Linked DNA regions of Ovis aries. The protein of the gene in region 5 purifies or fractionates together with the protein of the main gene of each other region. This does not show direct contact. Links are inferred from orthologs where the notes say so. Each region holds a gene or a part of one and is shown on either strand. Other genes may lie near its edges.

Evidence for each region.
Region 1: the proteins of TOP1 (region 5) and PCNA purify together in Homo sapiens (affinity purification with western blotting; 3 studies listed by BioGRID and IntAct, with this or other methods). This does not show direct contact. The link is inferred for Ovis aries from reciprocal best matches to the Homo sapiens genes TOP1 and PCNA.
Region 2: the proteins of TOP1 (region 5) and TOP2A purify together in Homo sapiens (co-immunoprecipitation; 4 studies listed by BioGRID and IntAct, with this or other methods). This does not show direct contact. The link is inferred for Ovis aries from reciprocal best matches to the Homo sapiens genes TOP1 and TOP2A.
Region 3: the proteins of TOP1 (region 5) and CHD4 purify together in Homo sapiens (affinity purification with mass spectrometry; 3 studies listed by BioGRID and IntAct, with this or other methods). This does not show direct contact. The link is inferred for Ovis aries from reciprocal best matches to the Homo sapiens genes TOP1 and CHD4.
Region 4: the proteins of TOP1 (region 5) and SUPT16H fractionate together in Homo sapiens (co-fractionation; 3 studies listed by BioGRID and IntAct, with this or other methods). This does not show direct contact. The link is inferred for Ovis aries from reciprocal best matches to the Homo sapiens genes TOP1 and SUPT16H.
Region 6: the proteins of TOP1 (region 5) and cyclin-dependent kinase inhibitor 2A purify together in Homo sapiens (affinity purification with western blotting; 3 studies listed by BioGRID). This does not show direct contact. The link is inferred for Ovis aries from reciprocal best matches to the Homo sapiens genes TOP1 and CDKN2A.

What each region holds. Positions count from the first base shown.
Region 1 is NC_056066.1:47,048,102-47,052,217, forward strand, and holds the start of PCNA (proliferating cell nuclear antigen), read right to left. Parts: upstream 2,801-4,116; 5' UTR 2,681-2,800; coding exon 2,460-2,680; intron 1,373-2,459; coding exon 1,275-1,372; intron 1,141-1,274; coding exon 1,073-1,140; intron 345-1,072; coding exon 150-344; intron 1-149. UniProt on the Homo sapiens protein: Auxiliary protein of DNA polymerase delta and epsilon, is involved in the control of eukaryotic DNA replication by increasing the polymerase's processibility during elongation of the leading strand.
Region 2 is NC_056064.1:40,375,080-40,377,944, forward strand, and holds the end of TOP2A (DNA topoisomerase 2-alpha), read right to left. Parts: intron 2,718-2,865; coding exon 2,577-2,717; intron 2,059-2,576; coding exon 1,709-2,058; 3' UTR 1,529-1,708; coding exon of another isoform or gene 1,400-1,528; 3' UTR 501-1,399; downstream 1-500. UniProt on the Homo sapiens protein: Key decatenating enzyme that alters DNA topology by binding to two double-stranded DNA molecules, generating a double-stranded break in one of the strands, passing the intact strand through the broken strand, and religating the broken strand.
Region 3 is NC_056056.1:209,672,248-209,675,747, reverse strand, and holds part of CHD4 (chromodomain-helicase-DNA-binding protein 4), read right to left. Parts: coding exon 3,322-3,500; intron 3,238-3,321; coding exon 3,151-3,237; intron 3,059-3,150; coding exon 2,970-3,058; intron 2,869-2,969; coding exon 2,735-2,868; intron 2,399-2,734; coding exon 2,254-2,398; intron 2,142-2,253; coding exon 1,976-2,141; intron 1,940-1,975; exon of another isoform or gene 1,802-1,939; intron 1,724-1,801; coding exon 1,626-1,723; intron 1,519-1,625; coding exon 1,389-1,518; intron 1,135-1,388; coding exon 1,063-1,134; intron 590-1,062; coding exon 452-589; intron 213-451; coding exon 104-212; intron 1-103. UniProt on the Homo sapiens protein: ATP-dependent chromatin-remodeling factor that binds and distorts nucleosomal DNA. Acts as a component of the histone deacetylase NuRD complex which participates in the remodeling of chromatin.
Region 4 is NC_056060.1:24,113,821-24,117,827, forward strand, and holds the start of SUPT16H (FACT complex subunit SPT16), read left to right. Parts: upstream 1-1,207; 5' UTR 1,208-1,299; coding exon 1,300-1,365; intron 1,366-4,007. UniProt on the Homo sapiens protein: Component of the FACT complex, a general chromatin factor that acts to reorganize nucleosomes. The FACT complex is involved in multiple processes that require DNA as a template such as mRNA elongation, DNA replication and DNA repair.
Region 5 is NC_056066.1:69,751,757-69,755,256, forward strand, and holds part of TOP1 (DNA topoisomerase 1), read left to right. Parts: intron 1-1,107; coding exon 1,108-1,295; intron 1,296-1,554; coding exon 1,555-1,699; intron 1,700-3,500. UniProt on the Homo sapiens protein: Releases the supercoiling and torsional tension of DNA introduced during the DNA replication and transcription by transiently cleaving and rejoining one strand of the DNA duplex.
Region 6 is NC_056055.1:90,755,901-90,760,043, reverse strand, and holds the start of cyclin-dependent kinase inhibitor 2A, read left to right. Parts: upstream 1-1,343; 5' UTR 1,344-1,672; coding exon 1,673-1,798; intron 1,799-4,143. UniProt on the Homo sapiens protein: Acts as a negative regulator of the proliferation of normal cells by interacting strongly with CDK4 and CDK6. This inhibits their ability to interact with cyclins D and to phosphorylate the retinoblastoma protein.

The DNA.
Region 1 (4,116 bases), about 23 Mb from region 5:
GGCTGCTGTCTTCTTAAATGAAGAAGCAGGCCCTCGTCAGACACCAAATCTGACCCAGTCTATGGTACTTTGAAACAGTAGCCTTACCAAACTAGGACATAACATAGTGTAATTCTTCAAAGTATTTTGTTTACTTGAAAACTACTTACAGCTTCCTCCTCTTTATCAACATTACTCGTCTGTGACAATTTAATATTTCCATTTCCAAGTTCTCCACTTGCAGAAAATTTCACTCCATCTTTAGCACAGGAAATTACAACAGCATCTCCAATATGACTGAGATCTCGGCATATACGTGCAAATTCACCAGAAGGCATCTTTACTACACAGCTATACTCTTGTTCCTATAAAACAAAGAAATGTAAAGGTCATGGAAATGAAAGATTTGGCACCCTCACTTCCTGAAGATTCAACATCTAAACAAGAACTCACAATTCAAGATTTTCTGATTACTCTGAAATATCACTCATTGTGCAATTTCTTAACATTCTACTAAAAAAAATGCAGATATAAAAAAGAATAATCATCATCATACTAAGAAACCAATTAGAACTTAAACTTTTAAAAGTAAATGCACTATCCAGGGAACAAGAGCCTCCAGCTAATCACTCTATAGGAGGTCTAAATCAAGAAGACATTAGTATATGGCATACAAATGGTAACAGCACAAATAGGTTTGCTTTCCAAAACAAGAGCGTGTTAGGCATTGTAAACATCTGAACACATCTTCTTTTGATGTTGATAAAACCTAACCATAATGAATTTCTGCTAAAATAGCTTTAAAATCTCAATAAAAATCAAGCACTCTAGGAATAATAATTTTTTTAAAAGATGCAGAGGTTAATGCAAATATGTCCTTGGCAGCAATGAATTCAAACCATAGCACTGTAGAACACCATAATTTAATAAAATGACAAATATATCAGTCTAAATACCCTACTCTGGAATATACATGAGCAGATATACAGAAAAGTTCTATTAGGAAGTAGGCTTTAAATTATTATATAAATATATGTTATGTAACTATCATAACTGTGTACAGCATGCTCAATCAGAAACTTTTGATACTCACTGGAATTCCAAGCTGTTCAACATCTAAATCCATTAACTTCATTTCATAGTCTGAAACCTTTTCCTGATCTACCAAAAGAAAGCAAATTTGAAGAAAAACACGTAAATTTACAACTAAGAGGTATATTTTACAATCATCAGACTTGGGAAATACACTGCATTTTAGTTTCCTCTGCCATAACTCAGTAGAAGGGTGGACTTACTTGGAGCTTCAAATACTAGTGCCAAGGTGTCCGCATTATCTTCAGCCCTTAAGGTAATGATGTCTTCATTGCCAGCACATTTTAGTATTTTGGACATGCTAGAACAGAGAAGACAAAGGGTTTTTAAACACCATCTTCTCAAGATCGTTAGTTTTCTAATGGAATTAAAATCAGGAGTTACCACTTTTAACCATTAGTTGCAGTTGTTTAGAGCGTAAGTGGTGTCTCCTGGACTGCAGCCTATCAGGGTCCTCTCTCTGTCCATGAGATTTCCCAGGCAAGAATACTGGAGTGGGTTGCCATTTCTTTCCCCAGGGGATCTTTTCCACCCAGGGATCGAACCCTCATCTTCTGCATTGGCAAAGTGATGCTTTACCAGTGAGCCACCAGGGAAACCCTTAACCAGTATGCCATCTGTCAGATTGGTGAGTTAGGAAAACGTACTGCACGGGGGATATGCAAGCCGGTCCAGACACTTTGGAATGCAATCTGGCAGTATAAACCCAAAAGGCCCACAACATACCAAAAGCAATTTCACTTCTGGATATAAATAAAAGAACAACATTTTATGAATTTCGAGTGGGTGAAGTAAATTATCGGGCCAACTATCTTTAAAAATGATCTAATAAACCTATTAAAGTACACGGCATGTACTATGGGTATTTATCATAAGCTTTAAGATTTAAACATGTGTAGTTCAAAAATTGAACGCCATTGCCCTGGAGAAAATTTTCAAGTCCAGGATCTTAGGGTGCTCACCGCAACTTTGCAGTAATAAAAGAAATACTCTGGTCCCTAGATAGTGTGACAGAACTAGGATACACTATAAAGCACTTTAAGTCAACCAGGACCAAGGTTTCTCATCCAAGTTGCTTGCACTTAACGACCAAAGCGTTCTGCAACAGTCTTTTCCTGAAACCGCAAAGTCCATCATTTTCCCGCCACCACACGCTTTGTGACTTTGGCGCGGAAAACAGCCGGTTCGCTGTTCGCGCTGCAGCCAGCGCGGGCTTTGCAAACCGCGCGCTCTGCTGGGTCCCGCCACCCGCCCAACTCCGCAGCAGGCCAATGAGAAGACGCAGATGGCCCACGCCAGCCAATGAGGGCCCGGCTCGTAGGAGCTCGCGCCAAGAGCCAGAGGTAGGAGCGGACCATGGCCCGGATGTCCGAGGCTTTGGAGCTCACCTGGTGAGGTTCACGCCCATGGCCAAGTTACGGTCGCAGCGGTAAGTGTCGAAGCCCTCGGAGCGAAGGGTTAGCTGCACCAAGGAGACATGAGACGAGTCCATGCTCTGTAGGTTCACGCCACTTGAGCTGATGTCCCAGCAGGCCTCATTGATGAGATCCTTAAGCGCCTCCAGCACTTTCTTCAAGATGGAGCCCTGGACCAGGCGCGCCTCGAACATGGTGGCGGAGTCGCAATGACACGGCTACAGGTACAAGGAGTGAGGAATGTGTAACCGGCTTAGGCTTCAGAGGATGAGAGCGAGAGGCAAAACACGATTACGAACGCCTGAGACGCCTCTAACAGCTAGCCGCGCCTGCAGCCGTTTAATACTGCCGCGTCTGCTAGCGCGCGCTACGTCTCCGTGCCCCTTGTTGATACGTCATCACGCTGCCCTCCCGCTGCCTGGGCGGAGAGACTGTAAAGCCAATCCTGTCCCTGCACTGCACGAAAGCCGCCCCACCCCGAGCATCCATTGGAGGATGCAGGTATGGGGGCGGGGCAGGAGCGCAGCGCTTCAGGGGCCCAGCAGATAGGCGTGCGCTGGAGTCTTGGCCGTTTTGTCATGTTCCGGCACCCGTAAGAGGAGTCCTTGTGAGTGTGAAAATCAGTCCTAGGCTGGGCGGGAATGGTCGATGAGCTGCGACGCTGTGCTGCCTCATCAGCCTCCCGCGTGAGGGGTAGAAAATTTACAGCCCTGAGTGAAACGTAAATCCAGGCTCTGTGCTCAGTCGCATCGGTTTGTCTGACTCTTTAGGAAGAAAAGCCACCTTTTCTTTAGCTGTTTGAAGGGAGGTACAGTTATGATTTAAAAAAAACAAGAAAAGTTATCTCCCTACTACCAGCTCTTAAAGCTCCTCCGCCACCTACACACAAATTGATATCATTTATTCTATGTAACTTTCTAAGTTTTTTTTCCTCTACAAGTATATATCTTTTAAAAAACAAAAATGAGTTCATGCCATAAAGAATTCAGCAAAGTGCTTACTAAAGTATGTTTAATTTTATGCCAGGTTCATGTTTTGTTTATCAGCACCTCTTAAAAAGATGGCATCATATCCTACAAATGTAACCTAACCTAACTGCCAATCTCTTGTAATTCGGGCAACTCCTTGAAGTAGTATTGTTGGATAGAGGAGCATACGCATTAAATTTTTGATAAATGTTAACTAAGTTGACTTCTAAAAGATTGTAATTTACATTCCAGCCAAGACTATGAGCATGCTCCTTGCCTCTAATTTTTCTGTTACTGGCAATCTAATTTTTAAATCTGTGCTCGTTTGTGTGGAAATTTCAATTTGCATATTAAAAGACTGGTGCAAATTGGATATCTTTCATACAGTTCTTGACCATTGCATGTTTATATTTTTTCTATTAAACTTTTTTCTGATTGATTAAAAGCATTTCATATATTAACCATCTCCCTATTATGAATATTCTCCCTTTGTTTCTTTTTTCCTTTGTTTACAGCATTTCTTTTTAGTTACTTCTAGTGTTTTACCTTGGTCTGTAGAATTCTTTAGTCTTTCTATCATGTATAGTGTGGATGTGGTTTTATTTATCCTGTTCATGGAATTTTTGTATTCCTCGGCCGAAAGATTGATGCATTTCATCAAA
Region 2 (2,865 bases), on a different chromosome or scaffold from region 5:
GGGTTTGATCCCTGGTTAGGGAACTAGGATCCTGCATAATGTGTGCAATGTGTGTGGGGGAGGGGAAAAAAGGTCTGAGTTTGACTTTCCTGTAAGATGAGAAGGGTTTGGGCCTTTCTAGCATTTTTTCCCCCTTCAGTGATTAGCCAATTGCCCCAATTTACTGATATCATCAAGTAGTCGACTGGATTATCAAAATATTATTAAATTAGGGAATAGAAATTTATATTTAAAGCTATTTATTGATGGAGGGTCAACACCGTTTGAGTGTGGAAGAGATGAATTTAGCACCCATGTTTAAAGCTCAGGGAAAAATCTGCTTGGCCATTAGTCATGGTGCCTTTCTCTTAGAACTATCACTGTGGCCAGGAGTTATGAGGGACATCAGAAAATGATGAGAATAGTTCTCAAAGCTATTTTATAGTGAATAGTGAAGAGGATATATTTCAGACTAAAGTAAAGAATGTAGTGCAGGGTGAAAAAAGGGCAACAATCAAGGGTTGCAATGTTTACAATGTTTTATTAAAGTACAAAATAGTTGGAATTAAGCTAAATAGAAAAACATAGTAAATATTTACAAAAACATTGATAACATCACTCAAGTCACACACATGTAATGAATGCAGGAAGGTCTTGAAAAGTTTATAAATTGAAAATTATGGAGATTTCCCAAAATGGATATAAAAGCTCACTGCTGAGTGTAGATAGCATCAATATTCTTTGAGAATATTGTTCCTGACTCCTTTGCAATCTGAGGGGACAAGTCAAGTGCTGAGATAATCACAACTTAGGATCTAATTTTCTTCATTTTATTGACTGTTATAAAGATACATCCATGGTGTTTTTCTTCAGCTTCTGGTGATATTCAAAAGGATATGAAGAATACAAACAATTTTTCACTGCTTAAAAACTCAGCATATAAAAGGCTGAGTATTTGGAACTGGAACTACATAAGAGTTCTATCTGATGGAAAATTGCTTATAAAACTAAGATAAAACAGGAACTAATCATGCTCTATCTCATATTTACTGAAAGTAGGCAGAGCAGAAACTTTTATGTCAAAGGGCTCCAATTTTAGCTTAATAACTGTCAAACTACATTATGCTAAAGTTACCACACAACTATCCCAAGAGGCCAGGAGAGCCTAAAATCATACTTTAAAAGACAAAAGAAAACAGACTAAATACATATACAAAGCAGAGAAGAAAACAAAACACTTTCCAGGAGATGGTCACAGTATTATACAGTATTACAGAGAGATAAAGGACACTTGGGCTCTACATACTTCACCTTAATGGTCCTGAACTAAAACTGCCTTCCCCAAACTAAATTCAGAGGGGAGGAAACTGAGACATTTACCTAACTTTAAGATCATTACTTAAAATAGTCACCTCACATTTTAAAAGAAATCATCTTCATCTGATTCTTCAAGGTACTTTATAGGTTTCTTTGTTCTTCCAGATTTTGCCCGAGAACCCACAGCTGAGTCCAAGTCCAGATGGAAATCATCGCTTTCCTCCTTGGGTTTCTAAAATAGAAGAGCACAAGTAATTTCCAGTATCAACCAGACAGTAGAATTTCAATGCAAAAAATATACCAACAGACTACAACTCAAGGAATATTCCACCTTCTAACAAGTAGTAAGAAAGAGACCAAAGGCAAATCTCTCATTGACTAATTAGTGACATTTAGCTGTTTTACAACTAAACTACACAGAGTAAAAGGGTAATGGATTTACATTTATTTTCTTAAAAATGTGCCAAATTATTAGCAGCAAAGCTTGATTATGTGTTTCACAATAACTTTTTTTCAGTGGAAAAAAAAAACCTACAGTGAAAGGGCTGACTAGAATAAATACCTTGCTTGTGACTGCTTTGGAGATCAGTTTCTCAAAATTAGAGTCCGAATCATCAGAGGAGGATGGCTTCCTTTTGCGGCGAGTCTTGGTTTTAGGGGCATTAGGCTTTTTAGAGACATCAGAATCCAAGTCTGGGTCCTTTTTGGTTCTTTTTGGTGCAGCCCTTTTCTTGGCGCCTGTAGTGGAGGTGGGAGACTGACCTGTAACACAGGCATTCATCAGGGTCACTCTCAGCTGAACTGTTTCCACAGCAAACTTTCTTTAGCAACTTGTTTTCCGCTTATATTTAACATAGGAAAAGACAACATAATTGAGACGAAAATGCATGAGAGAATTGAAATATTCTTAAGTATCCGATTTTTTTTTGTAGTTACATGCTTCATGTTAAATGTTTGTAACTGTTTCTAAGTCCCATCCCTGTCATAGATATGAGTTAGGATAACACCTGGCATTTTGAGAAACCCTCTTTTTAAAAATCTTTTGACTAGCAATTTTGATTATAAAGATCTAAGGATTTGTTTTCATTTAGACAAAGTCTTTATTTTAATATCTATAGTAAATTTTGAGAATAAAAATTTGAAGTTGACTTGTAGAAGCCAGTTCAGTTCAGTTCAGTCACTCAGTCGTGTCCGACTCTTTGCGACCCCATGAATCGCAGCACGCCAGGCCTCTCTGTCCATAATCCCAATATTAACCCAATTCAAAGACTGAGGCTCACTTTTTGCTGCTGTCTTCTTTGCTGTCACATTCTTTTTAGGAACAGGGTTTATGGTTTCAGTTACAGCTGGGAAATCAGCAGCAGGAGAGCTTGGAGGAGGTGGTACATTATCCTCAGCATCATCAGCATCAAGCTCTGTTACTTCAAATGGAAAGGAAAGTAGTACATATAAGCAATACATGAAAATCTGTGCTTTGTCCCTGCTCTGAATTCCTGTTCAAACACCATGTTTGTGACTTTTCTGGAATATTTCAAACACACTCTTATAACTTTGTTCTAATTTCTGGGT
Region 3 (3,500 bases), on a different chromosome or scaffold from region 5:
TTAATCGCTCAGGAAAAATGAAACAAGGGAAAGTAAGAACGTCCAACTGTGAGACCGGCAGAAATCCCACCAGAACCTTGGATCGGACTCAGGCAAAGGATACTTTATGATGCCAGCCAGTAGCCAGTAGTCATGGCGTCGGTGCCAGATCTCGTAAGTCTTCTTGGTGACGGTGGCTGCCCGCTCCTCATTCTGCCACAGAGAGTGCAGCTCTGAAGAGAGGTATGGGGAAGGGGGTAGAAACACAAAGGCAGACACCACTGAGGATTCAGCTACTCACTCCTGACCCCAGATACCAACTTACTGTGCCTTTGGCTTTGTAACAGGGACCCCAGAGGAGTGTGCCGTAGGCCTGGCATTCCCTCTAGGAGAGCTAAAGTCTCCGTACCTTGGTTTCTGACAAGAACCCTAATTTCACCTTGAATCTTTCCAGTGGGCCCTTTTTTCATACCAGTAAAACCACCATCTGCGATGTTGAACATGAAACGCTGTTTAATATTTTTCTTCTGCTTCTCATCATTCAGGTCCTTCGGGGTCTCTCCATTCTGAAGCATCACCTCTTTTTTCTCCTCTTCTTCTTTCTTCTCTTCTACAGAACAGGCAGAAAAGAAATGTCAGCTCTAGACAGAAGACAGCACCATGGCCCTTACCTGTACATATAGCACTGTGTGCTACAAGACCACCCATCTACCTCCACCCTTTCTCCACGTGTTTTTATATTTATATAAATATTTATTTGGCTGCGCTGTGTCTTAGTTGCAGCACGTGAGCTCTAGTTCTCTGACCAGGGATCGAACCTGGGCCCCGTGCGTTGGGAGAGCAGTCTTAACCACTCGACCATCAGGGAAGTCCCCGCGTATAACTGTTTCTTAAACCCACAAAAAGGTGCCACCAGCCGCTGACCGTCACAGGAAGGGAGGGGGGGAGTGTTTTAGCTTGGGATAAGATGATTATATCAATATTGATAGGGAGCCTGTGGGTGGAGGAGTGTCTGGGAGACAAAGTTCTTCCTTTCAGAAATAGAGTCCTTTTACAGTACAGTCGGCTTCTCCAAACACCCACCTTTGTCCTCCACCACAATGGGAGTCAGATCGACTGCTGCCTTCTCCTCCACCTTCTCCACATCAGCATTACCTGGGGGGAACAGACAGCATTGAGAACATATCTAAAGAAGAGTGCTCCCCACCTCTGTTATATCTGAAATAGTCGTAAACCAAATCTTAATGATTAAAAGTCATAAAAGATGTCCTGAGGGAGAAAAAAGCCCACAGTTAAACTCAGGGATGAAAGCGTCTTCCGTGTGTCAGTTCCTCTGGACTGCCTCTAGCCAGGCTACAAGTCGAAGTCCTTTGGTTCGCAGAGTCTGCAGGGCACGCAGATGGACATACCTTTGGGATCTGTCTCCATTGCTTCCTCTGTTCTCTCCTTGACCTCTGCCTTTTCCACTTTCTCCTCTCCCTCAGGAGGCTCCACTGGGACTTTCTCCTCCTCTGAGGCAGGGGCAGGGGGCTGTGCACACTTCAAAAGAGAGAAAACAGAGGTTGAATGAAGCAGACGGGCCAGCCCCCCAGAGGGAGAATGGGCCAATCCCGCGGCCTCCAGTGTGGCGTCTGTCACCCTCTCACCTCGACAGCGGCCTCAGGGGGTGCAGACTTCACCTCCTTCTCTGCCTCTGCACTCTCTTCTTCTTTGAGGTTATTCTCCTCTACTTTAATCCCATCCTCTGCAGGCCAACAATAGACATTAATTAAGAAGGTCCCAGATCACAGAGAAGGTCATGTCTCAGTCTGTCTCATCTTAAACTGTCCTCTCGTGCCTTTAAGAGCCAGCCCTATTCTCAGGACGGCCCTCCTAAACTGAGAGGGAGCTTGCTGTGCGTCCTGCCAGAGTCCCCTGAGAACTGAGCACAGGGGAGCAGAAAAACCACAGGCCAGGACAAGAAGAGAACAGAGGACCACTGCCCAGGAGCACTCACCGGCAGGCGGGGCAGGAGCTGGAGTATTAGGCTGTGTGTCCCCAGGGGTGGAGGGGGTAGGAGTCTTTGGGGAAGGTGACCCTGGCTGGGACATCTTCTTATTTTCCTCTACTTCTGCAAGTTCAGGCATGCTCCAGCGCCCGTTAACGTGTTCAAACTCCTGAACCTGCAGCAATGGGACAAGAGGCTGGAGACCCAAGTCCAACTAGGCTCCTTCCCTGCTGGCTCTCCAGCTCCCACTATAAGCCCTGGATCACAGAGGGAGGCTCAGGGCTCACCTTCTTGCGAATCAAGGACATAACCCCAATCCGAGTAAGGACATGCTGGCGAGACAGGCCTTCTCGGGGGACGCCATCAGCAAAGGTCTCAGCCCCATCTGCTCCTGGCTCACATAAATGCCGCATAAAAAGTGAGACATAAGCCCTGTGGTAAAGAAACAGAGAAACAGGTTAAAGAGCAGCCAGCTCCCAGACCAGACTCCTTCCCACCCGCAGGGCAGTCAGGCCTCATGCTGGAGGTGACTGTGGCTCCATGTGAGGTAAAGCCCGCCGCGGTGCTAAGAGCTGGTCTCCAGACCCTGTCCCGTGCTCCAGGTCCTCTTCTGGGGAAGCAGGGAACAGAGAGACCTATTCCTAGCAGCTGCACTTCCAGCTTCAGCAGGAGACACAGACTGCCTCCTGGCACAGCAGGCTCCAGTGTGCAGAAAAACCCAGACTCAGAGGCCTTGCTTTACAGTGCTCACCCAAGCACTCAACTTACTTGAATTCCTTCTCCGATTTGCCTCGCAGATCCCTCACAAGCCACTGGGTGGTGAAAGCATCCTGAGGGGGCATCCCATAGCGCATAATTGCATTAAGAAAGGCTTTTCGCTGACGAGCATTAAAACCAAGAACCTGGGGGCAGAAGGAGCCAGGTGAGAGGGAGGCAACCCAACTCCCCCAAGACCCGACAGCCGCTCGCACCCACCCTGCTCTAGGAACCGAGCGGTACTCACTTCAATATTCCCACCAACACGGGCCAACAGAGGAGGCAATGGCTTATCTTTATCATTCCGCAGGCCCTTACGACTGGGCCTACGGGGAGCTACAAAAAGAAAAGGACGTGTGAGCGATGCCAATCGGGATGTTAGACACAGCAACAGGTAAAAGAATCCAACAGAAAGGCAAGGGCCTCACCTTCTGAACGTTCATCAAAGTCTTCATCACCTTCCTCTGAGGCCACCGAATAATCGGACTGGTTGTCGGACTGGTCGTCCTGCCAATCTGGAGGGAGAGAGGGCAGATGAGCGGGGCCCACTGCTCTAGTGGAACGGCCCATGGGTGGGGGGCGGGGCCGGCCACACACACCTCGGTCCTCCTGCGAGCCATCATTGTAGTTGACCTGTTTACGAATTCTTTTTCCTTTGCCCAGGTTTCGGGCCAGATCTTCTTGCTGCTGCTCATAATGGTGTCGCAGCAATTTCTCCCAGTAGTCGGGATCCACACTTTCTTCCTGTTTTATGATCTCCCGTTCCACCTCCTCTTCC
Region 4 (4,007 bases), on a different chromosome or scaffold from region 5:
AGCCTGTTCCTGACCGAACTGTGGATACAGCTGGAGGGTCAGGAACTGTTACCTTCCTTCCCCTTGGCATTAATAAATTTAAGTTAATCCTTTCCCACTCTTCCCTCGTTCTATATTTGCTCAAACCCAATATAAATATTACCAGTTGATGTTCATGATGGGTAATTTCAACACCACTTTCTTAAAGTTCCTTACTGTTAATGTGTGAAGTTACCTTGGATAGGGCAGACAAGTCATCCTTACTCAGTGAAAAGCTTGTACATAAGCATAGGCTTTTGACCTTGCCAAATTATCTAAGCTAAAATAGTAGGCAAAATGTTCCCAGATTCAAAATCCCCAAGTTCTCCAAGAGATGAGAAAGAAGAATTTCCATCAAGACCCACGTACATTTTGTTTTGAATTAACTGAAATTGTTTCGGGGAAGGCGTAAAAATGGTGTCACTTCATGAACTGTGGCAGGGGACTGGCTGGCTGGAAGGATGCTGTCACGGCTTGAGCTCGCATTTGTTTCCTATGACTCCTCCCCTAATCGTCCTAGCGCTCAAATGAAGCCTGGGCATTTAATTTCCCTTTCAAAGGTGAAGTCCTTCCCCCGTGGCGCGGGCCTAAGTTCAGTTTATCCGCAGGATGTGCTCCCTCTTACCGGCTTGAGCTCCCTGTCTGCCTGGAGCCCCTAACCCAGCGTCCTATCACCAGGCCTGGAGGGGCAGAGGCTTTTGCTTCCCCACATTTTCTAGGAGCGAGAGAAATCCAGTTATGCTGTAGGCTTCCCACTCCCACCCCAGATCCCGCTCTCCGTTTCCCCTTCCTTTGACTATGGGTGGGGCCATTGCACCCGCGCGCGGCAGTTTGTATGGGGCGGGGCCGGCACGTCAAGACTCCCGCCTCCTCAGTGTCCAGCCGCCGCCGCCGCCGCCTCCTCGACACGGAATCGGCGCTCCTGGAGACTTCGGCCCCGGGCAGAGTAAGGGCGGGGGCAGAGCATCACGTGATGACGTCGACTCGCGTGCGGCTGTTGCTAAGTTGACAAGAAAACCCCGCGAAAATCTGGGCTTTTTTTGCGTTGCATGTTTTGTTGCTTTCCCACTCTTCCTTCCTCTCCTCCCCCTAACCTCCGGAGGAAGGATTTTTTTAAAAAAGAATTCCGACCGCTGCCGGGACCCGGAAGCGGAAAGGGCATCTCTGAGGTCGATACTTCCGGGTCACTGGGAGAGTGCGGGATTCCGGGGCCGAGAGAGGGTGGCGGAGCCGGGACCTCGCGTGATTCTCGGAACCCGAGGAGAAGCGGCGTCTGTGGCTATGGCTGTAACTCTCGACAAAGACGCTTATTATCGACGAGTGAAGAGACTGTACAGCAATTGGAGGGTGAGATAGATCCCGTAATTTCCCCAGGGAGCCCCCCTTTGCCATCCCATAATAACCCCGTTTCTCGGCGCCTTTTTTCCCCTTTCCGTCAGGAATTCCCGGGTTCAGGGTCGTGCCCATTTAGTTGCTCCAGGATCATTCACCGTAGACGACCCCAAGCGCCACCCTGTAGCAGGGAATCCCCCCCGTAATCACCTTACCCTGCGGCCACCACCATCTTCCCCGCGTGCCTGCCCCCGTCATGCATAACAGCCACCTCTCGTAGTTTCTTCCCGCCCTAGAAGAGGCATCATCATTCTTCCCTCCCACTCCGTGATCACGTCTTGCTGCCCCCTCCTCCAGTGTTCATACACACCCACGCACTCGCTCTGTCCTTCCAGAACCAGAGTGTTGTGCCCCAGGTCCCGCCAGAATTACAACCATTTCGTCAAGGATGGATGGAGGGGCCAGAAGGATGAGAATCGGGCTCTTGGCGTTTACCATTTGCGTTGCTCTTGCTGGAGTTAAAAAAAGACATACTGCTCACGCGCAACCGCCTCCTGTTCTAGGCCCTGCCGTGGGTAACACAGAAATCTAACGCTGAAAACCTGCAGGTTTTGGTAATGCAGAAAAACGATGTGATGCTTAAAACCTTATTCGTTTTCTCCGTGGTTGAGGATCCAGGGCACGTGTTTAGAAAAAGAGCTGTTACCGTTTCTAGTCTAAGGATTGGGTATTATTGATTACTTGGAAAAGTCCGCAATTAAAATTTTATTTTTGTGATGGTAATTTATCAGTTCAAACATTTGATTGCATCCTGTGGTGTCTTCTGAGCTATCCAGCTGAAGTATGACCTCTGAACTGTTGTCATTCAGGGAAGATAAAGCTAAAGAGGGCTTTTTAAAACCTGAAGAGCATCCTGACAAAAATGATCAGTTCTGACTTCAGCATTGTAAATTGCCTTTGAAACTGATCTACTAAAAACTAAGCTATTAAAATTGATCATTTGCCTACCGTTCATACTAAAGGTTCCTGTGCACGTTTTATCTTTTGGGCATAAATGGATTAGATGATTGAAAATAAAATGGGTTTTATGCATTTTATAAGCACAACTAAGGACTATGCTAGACAAAAGCTGAAATAAATTTACTTTTAAAAATTTTATTGGTTAATTTCTACCAGATGTTTTTATAAGTTCTCTCACTGTCATGTTTTTAAAGTTTGAACGTAATCCATATTAAAAATACTTTTCTAAATGCCCAGATATTTCCTGAAGATTAATAAGTACTATGATGTGAGTAATAATCAAATGCCTGCTCTTCCACTCATAGACCCCTCACACACCTTTGCTATAGTGGTTGTTTCTAGTCCCAGTGATTCAGAAGTTGATCAGATAACCCTATCTAGACCATTCACTGAAGCTAAAATTAATTTAGAGCTCAAAGTTCCCATACATGGTAGATAAATGCAAAGCATGTACTAGGGAAATACTTGAGGCCTAAAGACCCGTTGGTAAACTCAATGTCGATGACAGTCTTTAAATCCATGAAAGTTAAGTTATTGGCCCTATTTTTTTGTTTGTTTCTCAAATGCTAAAATTTATCTTGGCCCTTCTATCATTTGAAAGGAGCATGTTAAATGATAAGATCCTGATCTTACAAAGTTACAAGCCAGTATAAAAATGTACTTGGCAAAATTTGTCATGTCGTTATGAAAAATCTTATTTGAATAGACTTCCTGCCTTGTTATAACTGTGAGTTTTAATAACTGTGCTTAGACCCCACCTGTCGAATTGCTTTATGCAGTCTTCCAGGTTACAGCACTTTATCCCGACCTGCTTAACTAAAGATCGTGGTTTCCGGAATAAGTTCTGGTTGCTTATCCTCTTAGGTGCAGCAGGAAAATAGTGAAATACACAGGGGCAAGCTATATTTGCTTTTCTACACTTATTCCTTTTTTGAGTAAGAAAATTGGCCTTGAAATAATAATAACTTGTAGTTAATTATAGAAATCCCAAAACTTGTGTTGTCCACTCCCATCTTCAAAGACAAAAATTAACTAAAAAACTAGTTTAGACTCCGTTCCCACTTGTAAGTTTTAAATACCCTTAAAGCATTAGCCTTACAGAATGGTGTGGTTGCTTCTTGTAACTCCAGTGCTGTTCACACAACTACCTAGAGTTGTAGAGCATGTAAAGGCTATTTTTTTTTCTTTTTTAAAATAAGAGTAGGAACTAATGTGTTTCCTCATCTCCTTTATCTGCAAGTTGATTTTAAGGTACATTTTGTGAGGCTATTGTAAATAAGATATATCTCTTAATTACAGTTTAATTATGTCCCGAAAAGAGTTGGATTATCACACACTTCCTTTTTTGAGTAGAAATTTTTCAAACCTTAAACCTTATACCTGAGTGAATAGTGTTATTTTAGGGATAAGATAATGGGCTTTTTTTTTTTTTTTAATGAGAACTGCTACAGCAGGAAGAGTTTGCAGCACCTTTCTGTCTCTGCAGTAGAGACCCCTAGGTAGTGACCCTGGGTGGTGAGCATGAGCTTCTCCCCTGTCTTCTTATACTTACTGGGTCCTTATTCAGAGCTTCCCAGTCTTTTCATGACTGTGATTGTTTTTAACCAAGTGATAGGATTAGTACTTCATGGGGGTAC
Region 5 (3,500 bases):
GTTTACCTATTATCTATGGTCGCTTTCAGCAGTGGCAAAGTTGAGTAATTACAACAGAAACCGTATGGCTCTCAAGCCTAAAACATTTTCTATCTAGAAAAAGCTTGCCATTGCCCGATCTAGAGACTCAAGGCTGGAGTTTGACTTTTTTGGCTCAAAGCTGGGATCAAAAAAAAACAGGTTAGCAAAAAAAAAAAAAAACAAAAAAACAAAACAGGTTAGCAGAGGTCTGGAAGTTAAGTATTTTATATACCTGGCAGTTAAGTATTTTAAGGAATTCTTGGCACTTCAAAGCCTTAAATGTCAGTATCTTAGATTTACATGTTTATATAATTTAGGCCACTGTCTCTATGTAACTCACTGTTTGAGAGTACCTATTTGACCTTTGGTTTAAAAAACTAGTTACTACAGAGATGGTAAGAATGACACCTGCACCGTGCTTTTCAGTCTCAGTTTAGTCGTCTCAGTATTCCAAACTAGTGAGATTTATTTTATTTTTCACTTCAGGGGTGTTTTTCAAACTAAAATCCATGTCAGGAGGTTTTATAAGTATCACCATGTCAGAGCCTTGCCAAGGATACCTGTCACCAGCAGGTGAATCTTTATCTATGCCCAAGGCAGCAGGACTTAGTTTAAATCTAATTGCTGAGTATAATATCAATATGAGGGAAGGGTTAGCACAGGCTAAGGACGCTCCAAATCTTTCTCTCTTTTGGAGAAAGGATCGCAGTGTGAAATACATGTACCAATATACTAGTAAAGAATCAATAGCAAGTGTCTTTGTGCTGGAAACCCCGTGTGAAATAATGTTCATATGAGAATTTAAACTCGTAAAAAACTCTGGTTTTCCAGAAATTCCTTGGTGGTCCAGTGGTTAGCTTCTACTGCAGGGTGCCTGGGTTCGATCCCTAGTCAGGGAACAAGGTCCCACAAGCCATGCAGTGAAAAAGAAAATAATTTTCATAGGTTTTCCTTTATCTGAATTTGTTTCTTAGTGATTTTTAAACTTTTCTTTACCTGGACCTGTTCTCACACAAGAGCTAAGAAATGTGTAAGTAGAGAACAGTAGATTGAATCCCCTTTGAGTACTTTTTGGCTGTCTTCCAGAAAATCAAAGAGGAGAATGAAAAATTACTGAAAGAATATGGCTTTTGTGTTATGGACAACCACAGAGAGAGGATCGCCAACTTCAAGATAGAACCTCCTGGGCTTTTCCGTGGCCGCGGCAACCACCCCAAGATGGGCATGCTGAAGAGACGAATCATGCCTGAGGATATAATCATCAACTGTAGCAAGTGAGCACAGTTCGTCCTTTGGCCAGAAATGAAGTGGGTGGCTTCCTTTGTTCTCGGTAGTGTGGATTTTTCCCCCACATTACAGAAGACTGGGAGCAGCATGGTATTTCTGTGTATAGATCTTCAGGTGCTTATCATATATTGTCTGGTGAGGAGGAAGCTTGGAAATACATGCTCACAGATTCATCCACTTCCAGTGATGAAAAGTGAAATTGGTCACTACTTCCCACCTCACTGCTCTACTGCTTTATTTCCACAGAGATGCCAAGGTTCCTTCTCCTCCTCCAGGTCATAAGTGGAAAGAAGTCCGACACGATAACAAGGTTACTTGGCTAGTCTCCTGGACAGAGAATATCCAAGGTTCTATTAAATACATCATGCTGAACCCCAGCTCACGAATCAAGGTAAGTGGTAGCCAAGAGCTGCACCAGTTAGTGGAGCTGAAAATCTCTTGTCATTTTATTTGAAATCTAATGTCCTCAGCCTCTAGAATCACTTTGAGAAATTGAAAACCATCCCCACCCACAAAAAAGGGTACTTATCATAATTAGCATTATCTGGTGACCTCCCTAAGATGTTCCCATTTTCTACATCACATTGTAATCTTATTTATTAATTTGCAGATACTAATTGAAATCCCTGTATGAACCTGGCACAGTGTAGGCATGGTGCTAGGAATTACATTGGTAAATAAGACAGACACACAGTCCTTGCTTTTACATTGCTTACTGTCAAGTGGTCAGACTAATGAAAAATGTGGTAAATGTATATTGGTTTCTACAGCTAGTTATCTTCCTCTTCCTCACCTTTCTGGGCTCTGAAGAAAGGAATATAATTTCTCTGAATCCAGAAAGAGTTGTAAAATCTGGAGTCTTACATACTTTGTCTTCCTAAGTCTTCATTTGAGTAGATTCCACCAGGACTTAATGGGATAATGTTTGGGAAAGCATATCTTCAACTGTTGTGTACACGTGTGTTACTGTTTATTGATACTGTTATTGAAAAGAGAAAACTGTCTTGGAAGGACTATCAGTTCTTATTAGCCTGCTGGGCATACCCTGCTTGAATGAATCCCTCAGGTATACTGTGGAAATACGAATGTCAACTTAAGAGATGAGTTCCGCAAAAAAAAAAAAAAAAAAAACAGAATTAGTTCTGTATAGACTGACTGTTTATATTCAGGGCACTGAGAGTAAAGCCCCTCTTAATCTTGGTTTATAGTTTATTAAACACTTGTTAATATTTGAAAGCCACAGCTCAAAAGGCCATGTGTCTTTTCAAGACCAGACTGCACATTTTCTAGCTTGTAGTCCTGTGTCCTAATGAAAAATGCCACTGTGCATATGTTCTTCAGTGTAATTGGAAAATGACACTGTTCTTAGTTTAAAGTGAGCATGGAATCAGAAAGAGAACCCCCATGGCAAGTAAAAGTCAAAATCACTTTAAGAAACATGTTATATTCCTGTTCTGAAATACCGCAGAGCTATAGGGTGACCAAGGCAGATGAAAAGTGGTTTTAGCCCTGAAAGAACTTACGGCCTGCTGGGCAAATTGGGTGAGGAAACAGTTGTATTAGAAAGGTAAATGCTAAATGCTAGATAAAGGGAGCAGTTACTCCAGCAGTTAGAGAATAGGAACAACTTTTTAAAGGAAATTTGGTTGCAGTTAGGTCTCAAAAGAGAAGTATTTCAAAGAGCAGTGTGTCGTATGGACGGAGAGGAGGGGTATGAAAAAGGAGTAACAAAAGGAATTATCAAGTGATGGTTGGGTAACATTGTAAATATGCTAAATGTTGCTACTGTTGGGGTGAATTTTATATTATTCACACAGTAAAAAAAAATTATCAAAATGAAGGATGCTGGATTACTGTTAAAAAGTATTTTCATGTAAGTTGACATTTGATTCTTTTAATAACCATACCAGACATGTACTAATGCCACCATTTTACAGATGAATTTAGTCTCTGAGAGGCCAGATTGTGGCCAACCTTAAATGCCACACTAAAGTGACTGGACTGTGTTCTGCATTTGATGGAGAACCATTGACTTGGAACAGAGGAGTGTCTTGATCCGATATGCAGGCATAATGCTAATCACATTAGTGAATGTAAAGTGTTGTCAGTGCTGCAGAGGATACAGGGCACCATTTGAGAGTATACCAGAGCACCTGATCTGGCTTCCAGGGCCTAGGAAATGCCTTTTTAAG
Region 6 (4,143 bases), on a different chromosome or scaffold from region 5:
CCACATCATTGTTGCTCTCATACTTGAGAGGTGCCTGGAGGAAAATATACATAACACAGTGATGCATTGTGGATTTTATAATGGACTTGACTTCCCAGTCCCATAAGTGTTTTAATTGTCATTATTTAAAACCTCATGTGTTGCCTAAACTAACAGCCACTGAAAGTATAGTCAAGTATTATGGGTCTTCAAGAGGAGTCAAGTAGGAATTGAAATATAACTTTTAAAACAGAGCTGGGTTATCTAGCAGACAGATTAAACATTAACTTTTCATTAAATATGTCGGTCACTGGAAGATGTCCATCATTGTTTCAGTGATTAAGGTTTTCTTGCCTGCCCTTTTATATGTAATATTGATAATTCTACCTAAACCATTTCCTTCTCTGTCTCCTAGATTGCAAGAAAATCTTCAAAATGGATGTTAAGAGCTAACAGGCATGAGCTTAGGATGTGTGATACTGTTCTAAATGCTTATGTGTGTATCAATTCATTTAAAACTCAAAACAGTCCTAGGAAGTAGGGACACCTCTTATTCCCCCCTCCATTTTATAACTAAGAAAAGTGTAAGGTTTTTCTAACAGGAAGGAAAGGTGGACAGAAGTGGCACCAAGACAGTGTGTGAGCCTGCTTTCTGAATCATCTCCGAATGCAGCCCTGTCCCTAGAGCAATGAGCATGTTTTCTGGTGTAGGAGAAATTATTGAGAACAGAGCCTACTAAGCCCAAGGATACCCTTGCCACTTTCCTATCTGCGTACAGGTAGAAATCTCCACCATCCCTTTTAAATTGACCTCATCTGCTCGGAGCCAGCCCGTATACTGGGCACTAGTACCAGGCATTGTGCAAGCCTAGGAAACGCTCTCCCCCGACATCCGTTTTACATGTGTGTGGAGGGAGGGAGGCACAGCCTGGCGCGTGAGCCAGTTCTCCAGAAGGGACGTTTGAGCTAGAATTTCTGGCATAATCGAGCCAGCGCTCGAAAACCTGGTGCTGAGCGTTGGAGGGGGAGTGTATCCTCTCCAAGAAGGAAAGCCTCATGGTGGAATGGCTGATACCTATCCTGGGCGCTCGGGGCCAGGACAAGCTGGCTGTTTCTTCTGATTAAAAGAGGAAGCAATAACTTTGCCTATGACTCCAAACACACTGGTTCGAACTTGGCAGTTAGGAATCCTATGCAGTTGTCTCACGCCACTCAGGGTGTATACGCGAGGAATTTTCACTTGGCTGGAGTGAACTCGCTCGGAGCCGCGCGTGCGCCTCTGATGGGGGTGGGGGCGCGCTGCGCGCGGACGCGGGGCGGGGGGCGGGGAGGAGGTCCCAGGGCGCCCTCCTTTCGCGGTCCCGTCGCGCTACCGGAGCGGACAGCTTCCGGCCGGTGCCTCGGGTCGCGTGGGCGGCAGACCTGTGACCGAGGAGGCCCGGCGGGGGCTACTTCATAGACGTCTTGTTCGTTAGGAGCAAAGGGCGCCTCCTGGAAGAGCGCGTGGAGGGCGCTCCCCGGGTGGAAAGACTCCTCGGGAGGAGTCGAGGGGCCGAGTCTGGGGGCCGCTTCCGCCAGCCCCGTAGGAGGAAAGAGGAGGGGCGGGCTGCTCAGGAGCAGCCTGGGCGGGCCGCCCGCGCTCGACGCAGGCGGGAGGAAGGGAGGGAGCGAGGGGCGAGCTTTGGGGAGCAGCATGGAGACCTCGGCTGACTTGCTGGCCGCCGCCGCCGCGCGGGGCCGGGCTGACGAGGTACGGGCACTGCTCGAGGCTGGAGCGTTGGCCAACGCGCCGAACCGTTACGGTCGAAGCGCGATTCAGGTGGGTCAGCAGGTCTGCCGCGGAAAGGTGGGCGGCTGGGTGGGTGGGTGGATGGCGAGAGGCTTTGGAGGACGAGGTCCGCCAGTGAGTCGGAACCAGGTAAGCGTTTCTTGGTAAAGGGGAGACTTTTCAGACCGAGTTCGGGATCGGAGACCTCTCGGCGACTCTCAGGGGGCTCAGGACGGCCGCGGAGCTGGCTGAGAAGGCGCGTGGGGTTCAGATCTCTAAAACGGTGTGAAGATCTAGAAGGGAGAACCTACGTGTGTTAATATAGACCGATATGCGAAATTGACGAACGTCTGGAGTACGAGTATAAAGACAGTAAGACATGCTGGACCACTTACTCCCGAACTTATAAAATTGTGAATGGAGCTGATCGACTTCTTTGTTGGGGGGGGAGGGGCGGTGAGAGGGAGATTTCAGTGGAAATCTACTGCTGTGTAAGTTGGAATAAAGGTCGATTGAAATTATTCAGAAGCAACCATATATCGTGTTTATTATTTTTTTTTAACCGAGTAAGGAACATATATGCTTGTTTAGGAAATAGACATACATGAAAAAAAAAATTAGTGCAATTATGCCTGAAATAATGCTGCCAATTTAGTTACCACTTGAGTGTCTCTTACCTTTTGGGGTATTTTAAACTTACTTGGTATACATTAATTTCCTGGGAAGTTTTCAGTTCCTCATAGTTTAAAAAATGTCATTTCTCCTCTCCCCACTCCAGTTTTGTATGTGTGAGGATGAGTTGTGAGTTCGTTTTTCTGTGTGTGTGTGTGTGTGTGTGTGTGTGTGTGTTTTGCCTTCACTAACTTCCTAAATCTGGGGCTAAAAATAAATTCTTCCTGGCAGTCACTCCAGTTTTATTCCAGGTTTCGACAACGATTTCTGATTCTGAAAAATAATATTTATATGAAATGTACACTGCAAAAACTCCAGCATAACAAGACAAAGGAAAAGTAACTCAACCTGGAACTTAACAAGTGATTTCACAAGCGAATCGTCCTTTCCTCAAACTATGCTACATAGAACAGATATATTTTATATACTTTTAGATACAAAAATAAAAATAAAATATCCTCAAATCTGAGATTATTTGGGATTTGAAATGTGGAGAGATTTGGAGATTAAAAGGTTGAATGGTTGTAGAAGAGAAGCATGAGTTCTTTTTTTAAAAAATGCATGCATGATTCATAATTGGATATCTCTAAAGTTTTGCCAGCAGTTTGCAGACTGGGTGTTACAGCCTTCTAGTTCTGAAAGATGTTATATTAGACTTTATTGTTTAAATACAAAAAGAAAGATAATTAATTTTAAATTATTTTTAAATAGGATAAGGGCATCGACAAAAGGGATATGATTTTAGTTTTGAACCCTAACCAAATTTGTGTTTAAAAATACTTAGTTTATAGAAAAATTTTAATGACTAAATTAAATTTATATCTTCAGTTTGACTTAAGTACCCTAGAAATATTCATTTGAATGATTTTCTTTTTGCTTTGGATTGCTACTATGATTTAAATATTATGTTACTTTTCATACTTTAATACTGTAGCATATAATAATACCTTTAACCAATTTAATGACTAAGACCAAGGACTTCATTTATCCAACCCATGTAATATATTTTCACCTGCATTATATACAAGCATGGAAGGAGACATACATATATATATATGAGCTCTGGCACTTATAGTAGAGTTTCCAAAAGATTATGGTGTCCTTGGGTGTGGCCCCTTTGTTTTGGAAATTAATTCATAATCCATGAGAAATCCAATAGTGTAAATTTCCCCAGTTTTTATTTTAAAAAATTCTTTCTTCTAATGCACTGTTAGTTTTCCTTTTTGTAGCTGCAAGTTGGTTCACTTAAATTTTCTCTGTGGTTTTTTTTTTTTTTTTAATTAAATCAGTTTCACTTTCTCTAGGATAGAACTCAACAAGCATAGTATAACTTGTTAAGATTCCTTGGTTTGAACAAATTAATTCAAGTTTAATACAGAACTCAACTAAAAATAAATAATTCCTCAATATAGTGTAGCTAATGTAACCAAATAATGGTTACCCTAAAAAAGAATGTTCTATCACCTCCACCCAATGTATAACACTCAAATTGCAAAGTTGCTGTGATTGTGAACAATATTTCAAAATTCCTCTTTGGTAATGCTCTTGTATCATCAAAGATTATTTAGGAACCAAATGAAGTGAGCACCTCCTCTTTAATGAAGTCTGAGTGTGATCTTGGAAGGTGTCTTCCTATTTCTGCTATAACAAATTACCACAAATTTAGTATCAACATAAATTTATTATCTTATGGTTCTGTAAATCAGAATTCTAAAATGGGTCCA